Anolis sagrei: one gene and its partner. The main gene of each other region encodes a partner of the protein of the gene in region 2 in a complex. Links are inferred from orthologs where the notes say so. Each region holds a gene or a part of one and is shown on either strand. Other genes may lie near its edges.

Region 1 (7,222 bases), on a different chromosome or scaffold from region 2:
TGGGTAGTTTTGAAATGCATGAGCTTGTCACAACAAACTGCGTAGCCACATCCTCAAAGAATGGCCAGAAAATACAGGCAGGTGTGTTGATCAACAACTTCGTTTTGGCAGTTTATCCCAACCTAAAGGAAGTCTTTTAAAAAGTTAAAGGGTCCTAATGGTTCTTTTAAGACCAAGCCTCGTCAAAATACTCTGCAATGGGATTTGACCATTTGATTATTGGGTTGCTGTGAGTTTTCTGGGCTGCATGGCTATGTTCCAGAAGCACTCTCCTGATGTTTTGCCTTCACCTTTGGCAGGCATCCTCAGAGGTTGTGAGGTTTGTTGGAAACAAGGCAAGTGGGGTTTATATATTTGTGGAATGTCCAGGCTGGGAGAAAGGACTCTTGTCTGTTGGAGGCAAGTGTGGATGTTGCAGTTGGCCACCTTGATTAGCACTGAAAAACTTAGCAGCTTCAAACTTGGCTGCTTCCTGCCTGGGGGAATCCTTTGTTGGAATGCTTCTGGAATACGCCATACAGCCCAGAAAAATCACAGCGACCCAGTGATTCCAGCCATGAAAGCCTTCGACAACGCAAACACTACAGAGATGTTAACCCTTCCCTAGGCTATCCAAAGCTCTCTCTCTCTCTCTCTCTCTCTCTCTCTCTCTCTCTATATATATATATATATATGTCTGGAGTTACACTTAAAATGTACCTGTTCCCACTTACAAATTCAACTTAAAACAAACATATAGAACCTATCTGATTTGTAACTTAGGGACTGTGTGTACATTTGTTTTTACATAGTGGTTGGAGCTCTGTGGTTTTTACCCCATTTGGATCCCCAGATGTTATTGAACGACAACTCCCTCTTTTTATTGTATTCTGAAAAGTCTTTATATATATATATATATATATATATATATATATATATATATAAAATAACCTTAAAAAAACCCAGTTTCTGAAGTATAGCAACTACTTTCAAAACAATTACCCAACAATTAAACAGGAAATAAAATTTTCAAACCAGGAATAGATTTTTTCCCTCCAGATTTTGTTAGATAGTGTTATCTGCTATGAGGACTGGGGATAATGGGAATTGCAACGTATTAAAATAGGCCTGACTAAAACTATACTATGCCCCTGTGTTTCAGAGGTGGGGGAAATTTCTAAGGGATTTTAAAACCAGACATCATCCCACAAGCCTTTTATCTCATTCCAAACCCCACACTCCTGATTAAACAGAGCAAACTGTTTCATCTGACCAAAATGTACTATATCACAACTTCCAGCTTTGGTTATAATGTCTAATTTATGAAGAAAACAGGACTTGTTGTTGTCGTCCAGCATCGGGAGAGAGCCACATAAAAAGACAGAACAAAGCCAGGGCCTCCTTAATAATAATAATAATAATAATAATAATAATAATAATAATAGCGAACTGCAAAGACCCTGGCACAAACCAGTAAAGGTGGTCCCAGTGGTGATTGGCACACTGGGTGCAGTGCCTAAAGACCTTGGCCTGCACTTAAACACAATTGGCACTGACAAGATTACCATCTGCTAGCTGCAAAAGGCCACCCTGCTGGGATCTGCATGCATTATTCACCAATACATCACACAATCTTTCCATCTTGCTCTTCCTTTTTCCTTCCATTTTCCCCAGTATCATTGTCTTCTCTAAGCTTTCCTGTCTTCTCATGATGTGGCCAAAGCACTTCATCTTGGCCTCTACTATCCTTCCCTCCAATGAGCAGTCGGGCTTTATTTCCTGAAGTATGGACTGGTTGGATCTTCTCACGGTCCAAGGCACTCTCAGAACTTTTCTCCAACACCACAGTTCAATTTTTTCTTCGCTCAGCCTTCCTTATGGTCCAGCTCTCACATCCATAGGTTACTACGGGGAATACCATTGCTTTAACTATGTGGCTCATAATAATAATAATAATAATAATAATAATAATAATAATAATAACTGCAAAGACTCTGGAACAAGCCAGTAAATGTGGTCCCAGTGGTAATTGGCACATTGGGTGCAGTGCCTAAAGACTTTGGCCTGCATTTAAACACAACCGGCGCTGACAAAATTACCATCTGCCAGCTGCAAAAGGCCACCTTACTGGGATCTGCACACATTATTCGCCGATACATCACACAGTCCTAGATACTTGGGAAGTGTCCGACGTGTGATCCAATATAAAAGCCAGCAGAGTGATCTTGTTTGCTGTGGACTCATCTTGTTGTTTTTCTAATAATAATAATAATAATAATAATAATAATAATAATAATTTTTAAAAAAGATTTTAACGATATATTTTAATTGAAATAACTTGGAATAAAAAGAATGAGCTTTGGCAATAATGACATTCAAAATTTTTTCCCCACCCATGATAAATTACATTTTTGCTATGTAGTCAATTTGTTATGCATCTCCTTAATCAGTAGGTTTTTAAAAACATATTTTCTTATGTTATAAACACAAATCAATAAGCTAAATTTCAAGTGTTACACATATAAATCCTGAGTAATTCAACAAATATTAAAGACATTATGCTAATTTACACTGGTGTAGATTACATTATCCCCACCTTCCCTCCTCAACCACAGTATATTTCTACTAATCTTGCAGATCCAGCCACTTGTAGAGTCTTTGTATTTTTTCTTTGATGTGATCGTTGGCTCTTCCATTTTTCACCCAGTTGAAGCAGACCTTCCATCTGTTTATAATTATCTTTTCTTCATCCATTCTTGGTGCTTGGTTAGTCATAATTCCCGTAATATCTAACAACACTCGGTCATACATATAATCATTCCAATTACTTAACGTCCATTTCCATTTGTCTTTCCATCCTCTAGCAATAATAATAATAATAATAATAATAATAATAATAATAATAATATATTTTGAACCTGCCCTCTCTCCCCGAAGGGATGCAGGGCAGCTTCCAATACAAAGACAAATATTCAATGCCATATACCAGTGTTTCTCAACCTGGCTGGGACCCTTGGGGGGGGGGGGGGATTGTGAGAGGATGTCAGAGAGGTCACCAAAGTCCATCAGAAAACACAATATTGTCTGTTGTTCTGTGTGGGAAGTTTGGCCCAATTCTATCATTGGTGGAGTGACCCCTTAATACAATTCCGCATGTTGTGCTGACCCCCAACCATAAAATTATTTTTGTTGCTACTTCATAACTGTCATTTTGCTACTGTTATGAATCATAATGTAAATATCTGATATGCAGGATGTATTTTCATTCACTGGACTGATATGCCCAAATTTGAATACTGGTGGGGTTGGGGGGGCGGGGTTGATTTTGCCATTTGGAAGTTGTAGTTGCTGGGATTTATAGTTCACCTACAATCAAAGAGCATTCTGAACTTCACCAACGATTGAATTGGGCCAAACTTGGCACACAGAACTGCCATGACCAACAGAAAATACTGGAGGGGTTTGGGTGGACATTGACCTTGAGTTTTGGAGTTGTAGTTTGCCTACATCCAGAGACCATTATGGACTCAAACAATGATGGATCTGGACTAAACTTGGCATGAATACTCAATATGTCCAAATGTGAACACTGGTGGAGTCTGGGGAAAATAGTCCTTGACATTTTGGGAGTTGCAGTTGCTGGGATTTATAGTTCACCTACAATCAAAGAGCATTCTGAACCCCACCAATGATAGAATTGGGCCAAACTTCCCACATAGAATCCCCATGACCAACAGAAAATACTGCGTTTTCTGATGGTCCTTAGTGACCCCTCTGACACTCCCTCGTGACCCCTCCAGCGGTCCCGACCCCCAGGTTGTGAACCACTGTTCTAGAGCCTCTTAGATTGTAGACAAACTACAAACCACAGCAACTACAACTCCTAAATGTCAAGGTCGATTTTCCCCAAACTCCACCAGTGTTCACGTTTGGGCATTGCCACAAACAGTCATAAAAACACTGCACAATAAAATTCCCTCGGCAGCAGGTGGAGCAGGCGACAGAAAGAGCAGCCGCAGCCCAAGAGTGAGGCTCAGTTCCTCCGCCTTCCTTCCTTCCTTCCTTAGCGGCACCTAGCGGCGAGGAGCGGGAAGCATAAGCAGCGCCGCAAAGGAGAGACAGAAGGGGAAAGGAGAGGCAGGCAGAGCGTGGCAGAGCGCTTGTTCTGCCGAAGGAGCGGATTTGGGGGGAGAAAGACCCTCTTCCCCCCCCCCCTTCCTCGCCCTTCCTCGCCAGAAAGACCCCTCTTGCGACCGACATGGAGCCTGCTGCCAGGAAGAACAAGGCGGAGGAGGGCGAGCAGCCACAGCAGCAGCCGCAGGAAAAGGAGGAGGAGGAAGAAGTGGACCCCCGGATCCAGGTAAAGGGGAGCGGGAAGGGGCTGCAGAGGACCCCTGAAGGAGACCCTTCCCCAATGGCTGCTTGCTGGGTGTGTTTTTGCGGCAGTGTCAGCGTTTGGATGAGCCTCCCCTTTCTTCTCCCCTTGCAGCCGCGTGCCAGTCCAGCCCAGTCTCTTGCCTTGGGGGCGTCTCCCTTCTCCCCCATTCTCTCTCTTTCTGGGGTTCGGGAAAGGAAGCCCCTCCAGGTATTTTGGACTTCCAACGGATGTTAGGAATGGTGGGAGTCCTGGAGGGCCCAGGTTTGCCCAGGCCTGGTGTAGATCCACTTAAGGTGCTTAGGCGTTAATAGGCAGCAAGCCTCATCACCAATGCCTCTTCCTTCTATCTCTCTATCTCTATCTAAAAATGTAATGTTCCTTTGTGGGGTTAACATAACTCCAAAACCACTGGACAAATTGCCACCAAATTTGGACAAAATATACCCACTACCCCTAGGAGTGACCATCACTCAAAACAATGGATTTTGTCATTTGGGATTTGTAGTTGCTGGGATTTACAGTTCACCTAAAATCAAAGAGCATTCTGAACTCCACCAATGATGGAATTGAACCAAGGACTCCCAAAACCAACAAAAAATTCTGGAAGGGTTTGGTGGGCATTGACCTTGAGTTTGGGAATTGTAGTTCACCTACATCGAAATGTAATGTTAGTTTGTGGGATTAACATAACTTCAAAACCACTGGACGAATTTACACCCAATTTGGACAGAATACGCCTAACAACCCAATGAGTGACCATCACTCAAAGACTCCCAAAATCAACAAAAAATTCTGGAAGAGTTTGGTGGGCATTGACCTTGAGTTTGGGAATTGTAGTTCACCTACAGCCAAATGTAATGTTAGTTTGTGGGATTGACATAACTCCAAAACCACTGGACGAATTTACACCAAATTTGGACAGAATACGCCTAACAACCCAATGAGTGGCCATCACTCAAAAAAAAAAAGATTTTATCATTTGGGAGTTGTAGTGACTGGGATTTATAGTACACCTACAATCAAAGAGCATTCTGAACACCCCCAATGATGGAATTGAACCAAACTTGGCACATAGGACTCCCAAAATCAACAAAAAAATCTGGAAGGGTTTGGTTGGCATTGACCTTGAGTTTGGAAGTTGTAGTTCATCTACATCCAGAGAGCACTGTGGACTCAAACAATGATGGATCTGGACTAAACTTGGCACAAATACTCCATATGCCCAAATATAAACACAGATGGAGTTCGGGGAAAATAGATCTTGACATTTGGGAGTTGTAGTTGCTGGGATTTATAGTTCACCTACAATCAAAGAGCATTCTGAACCCCACCAACAATTGAATGGGGCCAAACTTCCCACACAAACCCCCCAAGACCAACAGAAAATACTGTGTTTTCTGGTGGTCTTTGGTGACCCTTCTGACACCCCCTTGGGACCCCCCCCCCCAGAGGTCCCAACCCCCAGGCCTTAAGGCCATCCAGTCCAACTCCCTTCACCAGGGCAAGAAAACATATTAAAAGCCCTCCTGACAAAGAGCCATCCAGCCATATATAGATAAATAATATAGATAGATAGATAATTCACACACACACACTCATATGTATATGACAGATATAGTGTCATAGATTTGAAAGGGACTCCTAAAGAAGGACAACAGTATGTTCCAGAGTAGGCAAACTAGACAATCTCTACATCAACACTGACAAAGAAACAACAAGAAATACTGTTTATCCACAAGCAGAAAGAAATTACATATATTAGAAACCAACACTTTCTCATTACTTTATTTTCCAGATCACTAGACTGGGCCACAGCAACATGTGGCAGGGGACAGCTAGTCTATAAATAAAAATGTAATGTTCGTTTGTGGGATTAACATAACTCAAATACCACTGGATGAATTGACACCAAATTTGGATATAATACACCTATCAGGCCAAAGAATAACCATCACTCATAAAAACATTGAAAATCAGAACGTAAGGGACATAAAATCAAAAAAATAAAAACTACATAATAATAATAATAATAATAATAATAATACTTTATTTGTACCCCGCTATCATTTCCCCAAGGGGCTTGGTGCGGCTTACATTAGGCCAAGCCCACAATACATTACAACGCATGCACAGAACCACACACACACATATATATGCAAACACACATGTATACACATATATACAAATATATATACACACACAAAACACATATACATAGACATGGCCACAGCAATGCATGGCAGGGGACGTCTAGTAGCAGTATAAAATGTCACCACAACAGCTTGTCACAATGCTTGAAATCTGCAGCCTGAAGCAGCCGCCTCACCTGGGTCGGCTGCCCTACAAAGTGGACTTTTGTTGGAAATGGAAATAACAGGAAAGGTTAGAGTAGGACAAAAGAGATGCCACGTCTATAAGGTGCACTACAAGAACATTTGAAGGTGGCGCATGTATTTGTGAATGCGTATCCAGAAGAGACATGCATTGTCTTGCATCCAAAGTAGATATACACTTGGGAACAGGTGTAGTGAAAGCTCAGGAGCATCACAAGTGATGAAATGCATGTAATGACTTAACAACTATTTATTAATTTATTTATGGCATTTATAAACCTGCAGTTTCTCACCCCAAAGGGACTCAGAGCAGCTTATGATATATATATATATATATATATACACACACACACACACACACACACACACACACACATACAACATATTATATTATTAGCATAGAAAAAAAGCATTCTGGAGGAAGCAGTGAATAGAAAGATATAAATGTGTTTTTGCTAGAACCAGCTTGATAACAAAAAAGCAAAGTTTGAAATGCAGTTGTAAATTCATCTTTTGACATGTCTGACTAGTG
Region 2 (7,317 bases):
AATTTAGGGTTGTCAGATGTGTCCTGCTTTATTATTGGCACGTCTTATCCTAAGGGGACAGCCCCTCGCTTCACATCAGCAGCTCTCCTTTGCATTCCTTTGTTTTGAAATTTTAATCCAGCAGCTCTATGGATGGTACCTGATGGGGCAAAACTGGAAATACAACAAGGGGAAGGAGCCCTATGGAGGGAAAGAACTGTCAAACTCGAACACACACCATGGATTCTTCCGTCTCCAACTGCTTCCAACGTGCCCTAAAATCATTTCCTTCCTTCTTCATTCTCCTGTCATTGGAAGCAAGCCTGCTTGCATGTGGTTCAGCTCAACACAATCACTGTCTATCTTCCCTGTCAGCAGTTCTCTCTCTCTCTCTCTCTCTCTCTCTCTCTCTCTCTCATGCCCCCATCTTTATTGGCCTTGCATGAGAAGATCAGCAGACCCGTATAATCAAAACAGCGATGTTATCATCCACCCCTTTTATTTCTTTCCTTGGCCATCTTCATTTTCCTCTCCTTGAGGAGGAAAAAACCAAAACAGAAGAGACCAGGTTCTGTGTATGCATGCATGGATGAGCCATCTTTTTTGCAAGACACCAGAAAAAGAAATCACCCAGAGAGCCGGATGAGAAGATGGGAAAACTGCATTGGAGAAGCAACGGTGAGGCTCTGCAGCAAAAGGCACCCATGTAAACAAGCCTATGGCCACTGAGGATAAGAAAATAATAAAAAAATAATAAAGCATGCACACAAATGCAAACCCTCTCATTAGACCGATCCACTGAATTATGACCTCCAAGAGACAGCCATGCAAACTCTTTGTATCTTTTAACAGGGCCCGCATTGCAGAAAGGAGAAAAATGCTATCCGAACAAATTGTAAAAGCCGGGGCTGTCGAAAAGGCTATTCCGGTAAAAGCTCCATTGCTTTTGCTGCAGTCTTTAGATGCAATTGGAGAATGTCCCTTTACATGGCACAACCGGCTACCCACCCACTCACCCGCCCCCACTTCATGCTTGTCCTAAATTTTAGGTCTACCTTCAAAAGAAAGATGGATCTCTTATCCACTTTGCGTACATAGAATTGTTATGCAAGCCAGTGGGATGTTTATGTTCAGAAAGGACTTCCTGGTGACAAAAATAAAACCACTTGGATTTTCCATCCCCTTGTTTTCACCTCTGGACCCTCACCTTTATCTCATGCAGGGAGGGAGAAATATCCCACCAAGAGAGTTTTGGAGGGAGATACACTTTGGATTCCTTTTCAAGAGGGAGAGAGTAGAGGAAACAGAGAATAAGGTATGAGAATCAGGGAAGGAAAAGTGATTTTTTTAGAGAGAAAAACATTAATTATTATGTTTTGTTGTGTGTTTTCCAGGCTGTATGACCATGTTCCAGAAGCATTCTCTTCTGACGTTTTGCCTGCATCTATGACAGGCATCCTTGGAGGTTGTGAGGTCTCACAACCTCTGAGGATGCCTGTCATAGATGCAGGTGAAATGTCAGGAGAAGATGCTTCTGGAACATGGCCATACAGCCTGGAAAACTGAAAACAACCCTGTGATTCCAGCCATGCAAGCCTTCAACAATTACTAAGATAATTGTTACTAAGATAATTGTTACAATTACTAAAATAATAATTACTAAGATAATACTAAGACATTTACTAAGATAATACTAAGAAGGGATACAGCCCAAAAGACAGAAAACAACCCAGTGATTCCAGCCATGAAAGCGACAATACCTTAATTATTATGGTTACCTTGCCATCTTTGTTATGATGTGATCCACAACCCAACCCCCCCTTGCAAACAGATCCCATCCCTTGGCCCATGCTTCCCCGATTGAAAAACAAATAAACATGAAATAATGAGAGTCATGGTTCCTTTTCAAAGGACAGGAGAGGGAGGGGGGCGCGCACAGAGAGAAGCACAAGATACAGCAGAAGGAGCCCTGTGTTTACATCCCCCTCCACCCTCCTCCGGGAAGCCAATGCAGATCCTATCGCATCCCAAACCCGACCCAAAAGAGAGATGCAAACAAGCCGCGGCTACTAACCCCGACACCGGCCCAAAAGGATGCTGCCTTCCCGGTGGCCTGCGGTCCAGCTCTCGCCTCCCTGCTGCTTCTCTTAGCAGTTTACTTCATTAACCTGCCTCTCTCTCTCTATCTCTCTCTTTCTCTCTCTCTCCCTCCTCCACTCACGCACGCGCGCGCTCTCCCTCCTCCCCCTCCCCTCGATTATTTTTAACAGCAATCAATATTCATCAGCCCGCCTCCTCTCACAAAGACGAAGGGAAGGGAAAGGAGGGGGGTCTCAAAGCCCCAGCAGCCCCCCCCCCCTTCCCCATCTCTTCCCACATCCACCACCTACCATTCCAGTGCCTGCGCTCCAGACCCGCCTCTTGCCGGGGTCTTGGTTTGGCCCTCCTTGTGGCGACGTCAAGGGGTCTCTGGAAAGCGCCCCATTCTTACTGGGGAGGGAGAGAAGGGAAATGGGTAGCTTGGAGGGCTGGAAGAAGGGGATGGAAAGGAGAGAGGGGGATTGAGAGAGAGAGAGAGAGGAGAAAAGGAAAGAGGAGGATTTAGAGAATGGAGAACAGGAGATGGAAAGGAGAGAGGAGGATTGAGAGACAGGGAAGAACAGGGGATGGAAAGGAGAGAGGGGGAATTAGAGAGGGGAGAAATGGGGGTCTGTAGAGAGAGGTATAGAGAAAGGCGAAAGGAGAAAAGGAGGTGTATAGGGAGTCTGGTGATGGTCAACTATAGGAAGGTATATGTATTGGGGAGGAGAGGGGGTTGTAAGTGAGAGAGAGAACAGGAGGTGGAAAGGAGAGAGGGGGATTGAGAGAGAGAGAGGAGAAAAGGGGATGGAAAGGAAAGAGGAGGATTTAAAGAGAATGGAGAACAGGAGATGGAAAGGAGAGGGGGATTGAGAGAGAATGGAGGAAAGGGGATAGAAAGAAGAGGGGGGGATTGAGAGACAGGGCAGAACAGGGATGGAAATGACCCCCCTATTGAGAGAGAGGGGGAAGAAAAGGGGATCTGTTGAGAGAGAGATAGAGAGAAAGGCGAAAGGAGAAAAGGGGGTGTATGGTGATGGTCAACTATAGGAAGGTGTGTGTGTGGGGGGGGGAGGGGGTTGTAAGTGAGAGAGAGGAGAACAGGAGAGAGGAGGATTGAGAGAGAGGAGAGCAGGGGATAGGAAGGAAAGAGGAGGGTTTAGAGAGAATGGAGAACAGGAGATGGAAAGGAGAGAAGGGGACTGAGAGAGGGGAGAAAAGGGGATAGAAAGGAAAGAGAGGGGGGAGAAATGGGGATCTGCAGAGAGAGAGGTACAGATAAAGGCGAAAGGAGAAAAAGGGGTGTATAGGGAGTCTGATGTGGGGAGAAAGGGTTTTAAGTGAGAGAGAGGAAAACAGGAGATGGAAAGGAGAGAGGGAGATTGAGAGAGAGAGAGACGAACAGGTGATGGAAAGGAGAGAGGGGAAATTAGAGAGAGGGGAGAAAAAGAATCTGCAAAGAGAGAGGAGAGGTATAACGACGAAAGGAGAAAGGGGAGTGTATAGGGAATCTGGTGATGGTCAACTATAGGAAGGGATGTGTGTGGGGAGAGGGGGGTTTGCAAGTGAAGGAGGGATTTGGTGCCAAAGCTTATTCTTTTTGGAGATGGAGGCAAACGAAGCAATGGACTTCAAACTGGTGCGTAATATCAGTCACAGAAAGAAAGGGAGAGATGGAGAAAGAGAAGAGGAAGAGGAGGAGAAAGAAGCAGGAGGGACGGCTGGAAGGAAGGAAGGGAAGGTGTCCTGCTGAATCACCCTCTTTTACAATCTGGAGACCATTGGGCCTCGCTTGGTGGCGGCGCTGGAGAGGATGCTCCTGATGCTGCCGGCTGGACCATTGTGGGGAAAAGGAAGGGGGGGGGGAGCCGGCTTGGGGAATGGCGCTGCCATGGCAACGGGGAAGGAGCCCACGTGACGTCAAAGCCCAGCGAGGTCTCGGGAGGAGGGAGGGAGGGAGGGAAGGGGAGGGGAGGAGAGGGGGAGTCTAATCTGCAGCGCCAGCCATTGTATCTCCCTCCCCTCCTTTCCTGGTGAAATCTGCGAGGCCAAGGGGGGAAAAAATAGGAAAAAAGCAACGCTGAATAAGCTTCTGTGATGGTTTATCAGCAATAGCAGCTGGACTCTCAGGCCGAGTTGGCATGGAAGATGGCCAGAGCAATGGCCTTGGCTGGGCAGGGTGCTTATGACCTACTCAGAGCTTCCCACCACTGAGATGCAGCCCAGCCATGCACTAAATCCCAAAGTGCTTGATCTGGTCCAAGACAAGGACCACCTTGGTTTGCTCTTCGGTTCCACACCTTTCTCTTTCTGCATTCAGCTTTACCTTAGTAGGTTTGAGGCTACCTTTGGCCTCCCTATCCATGGATTCTGCATCTATCTACCCCAGGCTTGAGCAACTTGGGCTCTCCAGGTGTTTTGGACTTCAACTCCCACCATTCCTAACAGCCTCAGGCCCCTTCCTTTTCCCCCTCAGCCGCTTAAGCTGAAAGGAAAGGGCCTGAGGCTGTTAGGAATGGTGGGAGTTGAAGTCCAAAACACCTGGAGGGCCCAAGTTTGCCCAGGCCTGATCTACCCATTCCAAATAATCCCAGAAAGAATCTGAAAAGTAAAGCCTGCTTTTGCCATTTTATGTAAAGAATACCATTTTAATACTCCACTGTGTATATAACAGGGCTTGAGCACCCATAGATGTTAGGATCATTGGGGTCCTAGAACCCCATGGATACTATAATAATAATCTATATAAATAAAAATGTAGTGTTTGTTTGTGGGATTAACATAATTATTATTATTTTATTTTATTTTGGTTGCTTCTACCCCAACCTTCTCACCCCGGGATGGGGTGGGGGTGGTGTGGGGGACTCAGGGCGGCTTACAAAAGCAAGGCACAATTCGATGCCCGCATCACATATAGCAAAAGACAATAACATCAGTTAACAAAACAGCATTCTGGCAATAACAACAGTTAACAGAAAACAGTAATTAGTATAGGCAGAGACAACCATAAAACCAATAAAAGCAATAAAAACCAATACAAACCTCATTGATGGTCAGCGTTTCGCAATCTCATAGTTCAAAATTCCAATTCCACAATTGTCAGTCCTTTCAGTCCCATCCATCTGGCTGTCCATGTCTAATTGTCAGATTGCCCGAAGGCCTGGTCCCACAACCACATCTTTACCTTCCTCCTGAAGGAGAGGAGGGATGTTGATGCCCTAATTTCCCCCGAGAGTGAGTTCCACAGGTGAGGGGCCACCACTGAGAAGGCCCTGCTCCTCGTCCCCACCAGCCTCACTTGTGATAGCAGTGGGGTCGAGAGCAGGGCCTCCCCAGATGACCTCAAATTCCGGGGTGGGACATAGAGAGAGATACGTTCGGACAGATACGCTGGACCGGAACCATAACCAGCACCTAGAATTGTGCTTGGAATTTAACCGGCAGCCAGTGGAGCTGTCACAGCAGGGGGGTGGTATGCTCCCTGTATGTCGCTCCGGTAAGCAATCTGGCTGCTGCTCGCTGGACCAGTTGGAGTTTCCGAACAGTCTTCAAGGGCAACCCCACATAGAGTGCGTTGCAGTAGTCTATACGGGATGTAACAAGAGTGTGGACCACTGGATAACTCAAAAACCACTGGACGAATTGACAGGAAATTTGGACACAATACACCTATCAGGCCAACGAGTGACCATCACTCATAAAAACACTGAAAAACACAGCAGAAGGGACTTAAAAATCCAAAAAAAAGCTAAAAGATGCTACAAAGCATGTGCAAAAATGACTCTCCCTGGCAAACAAATCACACAATAGCATATCCACACTCTCTTCCGGAGTACAGCTCCCAGCAGCCCCTAGACCAGGAACTTTAGGAGAGGAGGATGATCCAAATGCACTGCTTCTAAGTGGCAAGCTTTCTTCTCCTTGGATTTCTTTGAGAGCATCCAAATCCCTGCATATTTCCCATTTCCTATTCCTGGACTGCAACTCCCAGCAATCCTCCAGATAAATCGATATAGATAGGTAGGTAGATGGATCAGGAGGACTGCTGGGTGTTGCAGTCCAAGAATAGGCAGAAAAGGAAGAAAGGGGAGAAAGCAGAAGGAAAAGAAAAGGGGGAAGGAAGGGAAGAGGAAGAGAAGGAAAGGAGGAGAGAAGGAAAGAAAAAAGGGAAGGAGAGAAAGAAAGGAGGAGAGAAAAAGGGAGGGAAGGTTGGCCACAGTAACGCGTGTAATATAATAATAAAACTTTATTTATACCCCACCACCATCTCCCCAAGTGAACTCGGGGCAGCTTACACAATGCCAAACCCAAAAATCACAACAAAGCAAATATACAACATAAAATAATACATCAATAAAATATAATAATAATAATAATAATAATAATAATAATAATAAACAGTACAAAATAGGCACACAATGCAATATAAAATCACAATAATAGAACACAATGGGCAAGGCCGGTTGCAAAGATTAAAATGTTTAAAAACTCTAGGTGAGATAAGTAATGTAGTGTATCTAGAAGGAGGTTCAAGTGGGATGAAACAATGGGGTTTAGTTGCACTAGAGGGTGAAATAAAGTGCATTCAAAGGAATTTTTATGTGTGGTTTAGTCAAGGTCAGGGATTATTGTTCATTCATTGAAGGCACACTGGAACAGCCATGTTTTTAGGCTCTTCCTGAAGTCTGCCAGGATGGGTGCTTGCCTCATTTCTCCGGGGAGCAAACTCCAGAGCTGAGGAGCCACCATAGAGAAGGCCCTCTCCCTCGTCCCCACAAGTCACACTTACAATGGGGGTGGGGGTGCGAGAAGGGCCGCTCCAGAAGATCAAAGGGATTATGTAGGTTCGTAGAAGGAAATGTGGTCACGAAGGTAGGCTGGTCCCAAACCATTCTAATAAAGTATAATGCTATACTTTATTTATTTATTTCCAGTATTTATATTCCACCCTTCTCACCCCCAAGGGGACTCAGGGCACATTACAGAACACATATATGGCAAACATTCAATGACAATTATACCATGACAATACAGACAACAGATAAAGGTATTTATATATGAGTTTCCCATTTTTCTGGCATCTTTGGAGGTTGTGCTCGGTTCCGGCCACAAGGGGTGCTATTGCTCCATCTCCTTGCCTAAAGGCTTTCTTTGTTCACAAACATTCCTCCTTTTTCTGATTGAAACATCATGCCTAAAACACCTCTCTGCTTAATGTGGTTTTAATTTATTTACTCCTGTTGCTGTTTTCAATCCGCT

Evidence for each region.
Region 1: the proteins of MAPK10 (region 2) and SH3BP5 are in contact, whole or in part, in a crystal structure (PDB 4H3B), measured with the Homo sapiens proteins. The link is inferred for Anolis sagrei from reciprocal best matches to the Homo sapiens genes MAPK10 and SH3BP5. Residues at the interface, in NP_620448.1 of Homo sapiens: Lys121, Asp150, Ala151, Gln155, Val156, Met159, Leu161, Glu164, Arg165, Tyr168, Tyr171, Val197, Lys198, Ser199, Asp200, Cys201, Trp362, Asp364, Glu367; in NP_004835.2 of Homo sapiens: Val341, Val342, Arg343, Pro344, Gly345, Ser346, Leu347, Asp348, Leu349, Pro350.

What each region holds. Positions count from the first base shown.
Region 1 is NC_090026.1:80,094,145-80,101,366, reverse strand, and holds the start of SH3BP5 (SH3 domain-binding protein 5), read left to right. Parts: upstream 1-4,060; 5' UTR 4,061-4,237; coding exon 4,238-4,339; intron 4,340-7,222. UniProt on the Homo sapiens protein: Functions as a guanine nucleotide exchange factor (GEF) with specificity for RAB11A and RAB25. Inhibits the auto- and transphosphorylation activity of BTK. Plays a negative regulatory role in BTK-related cytoplasmic signaling in B-cells.
Region 2 is NC_090025.1:19,261,131-19,268,447, forward strand, and holds the start of MAPK10 (mitogen-activated protein kinase 10), read right to left. Parts: upstream 3,060-7,317; 5' UTR 2,370-3,059; intron 2,206-2,369; exon of another isoform or gene 2,054-2,205; intron 1-2,053. UniProt on the Homo sapiens protein: Serine/threonine-protein kinase involved in various processes such as neuronal proliferation, differentiation, migration and programmed cell death.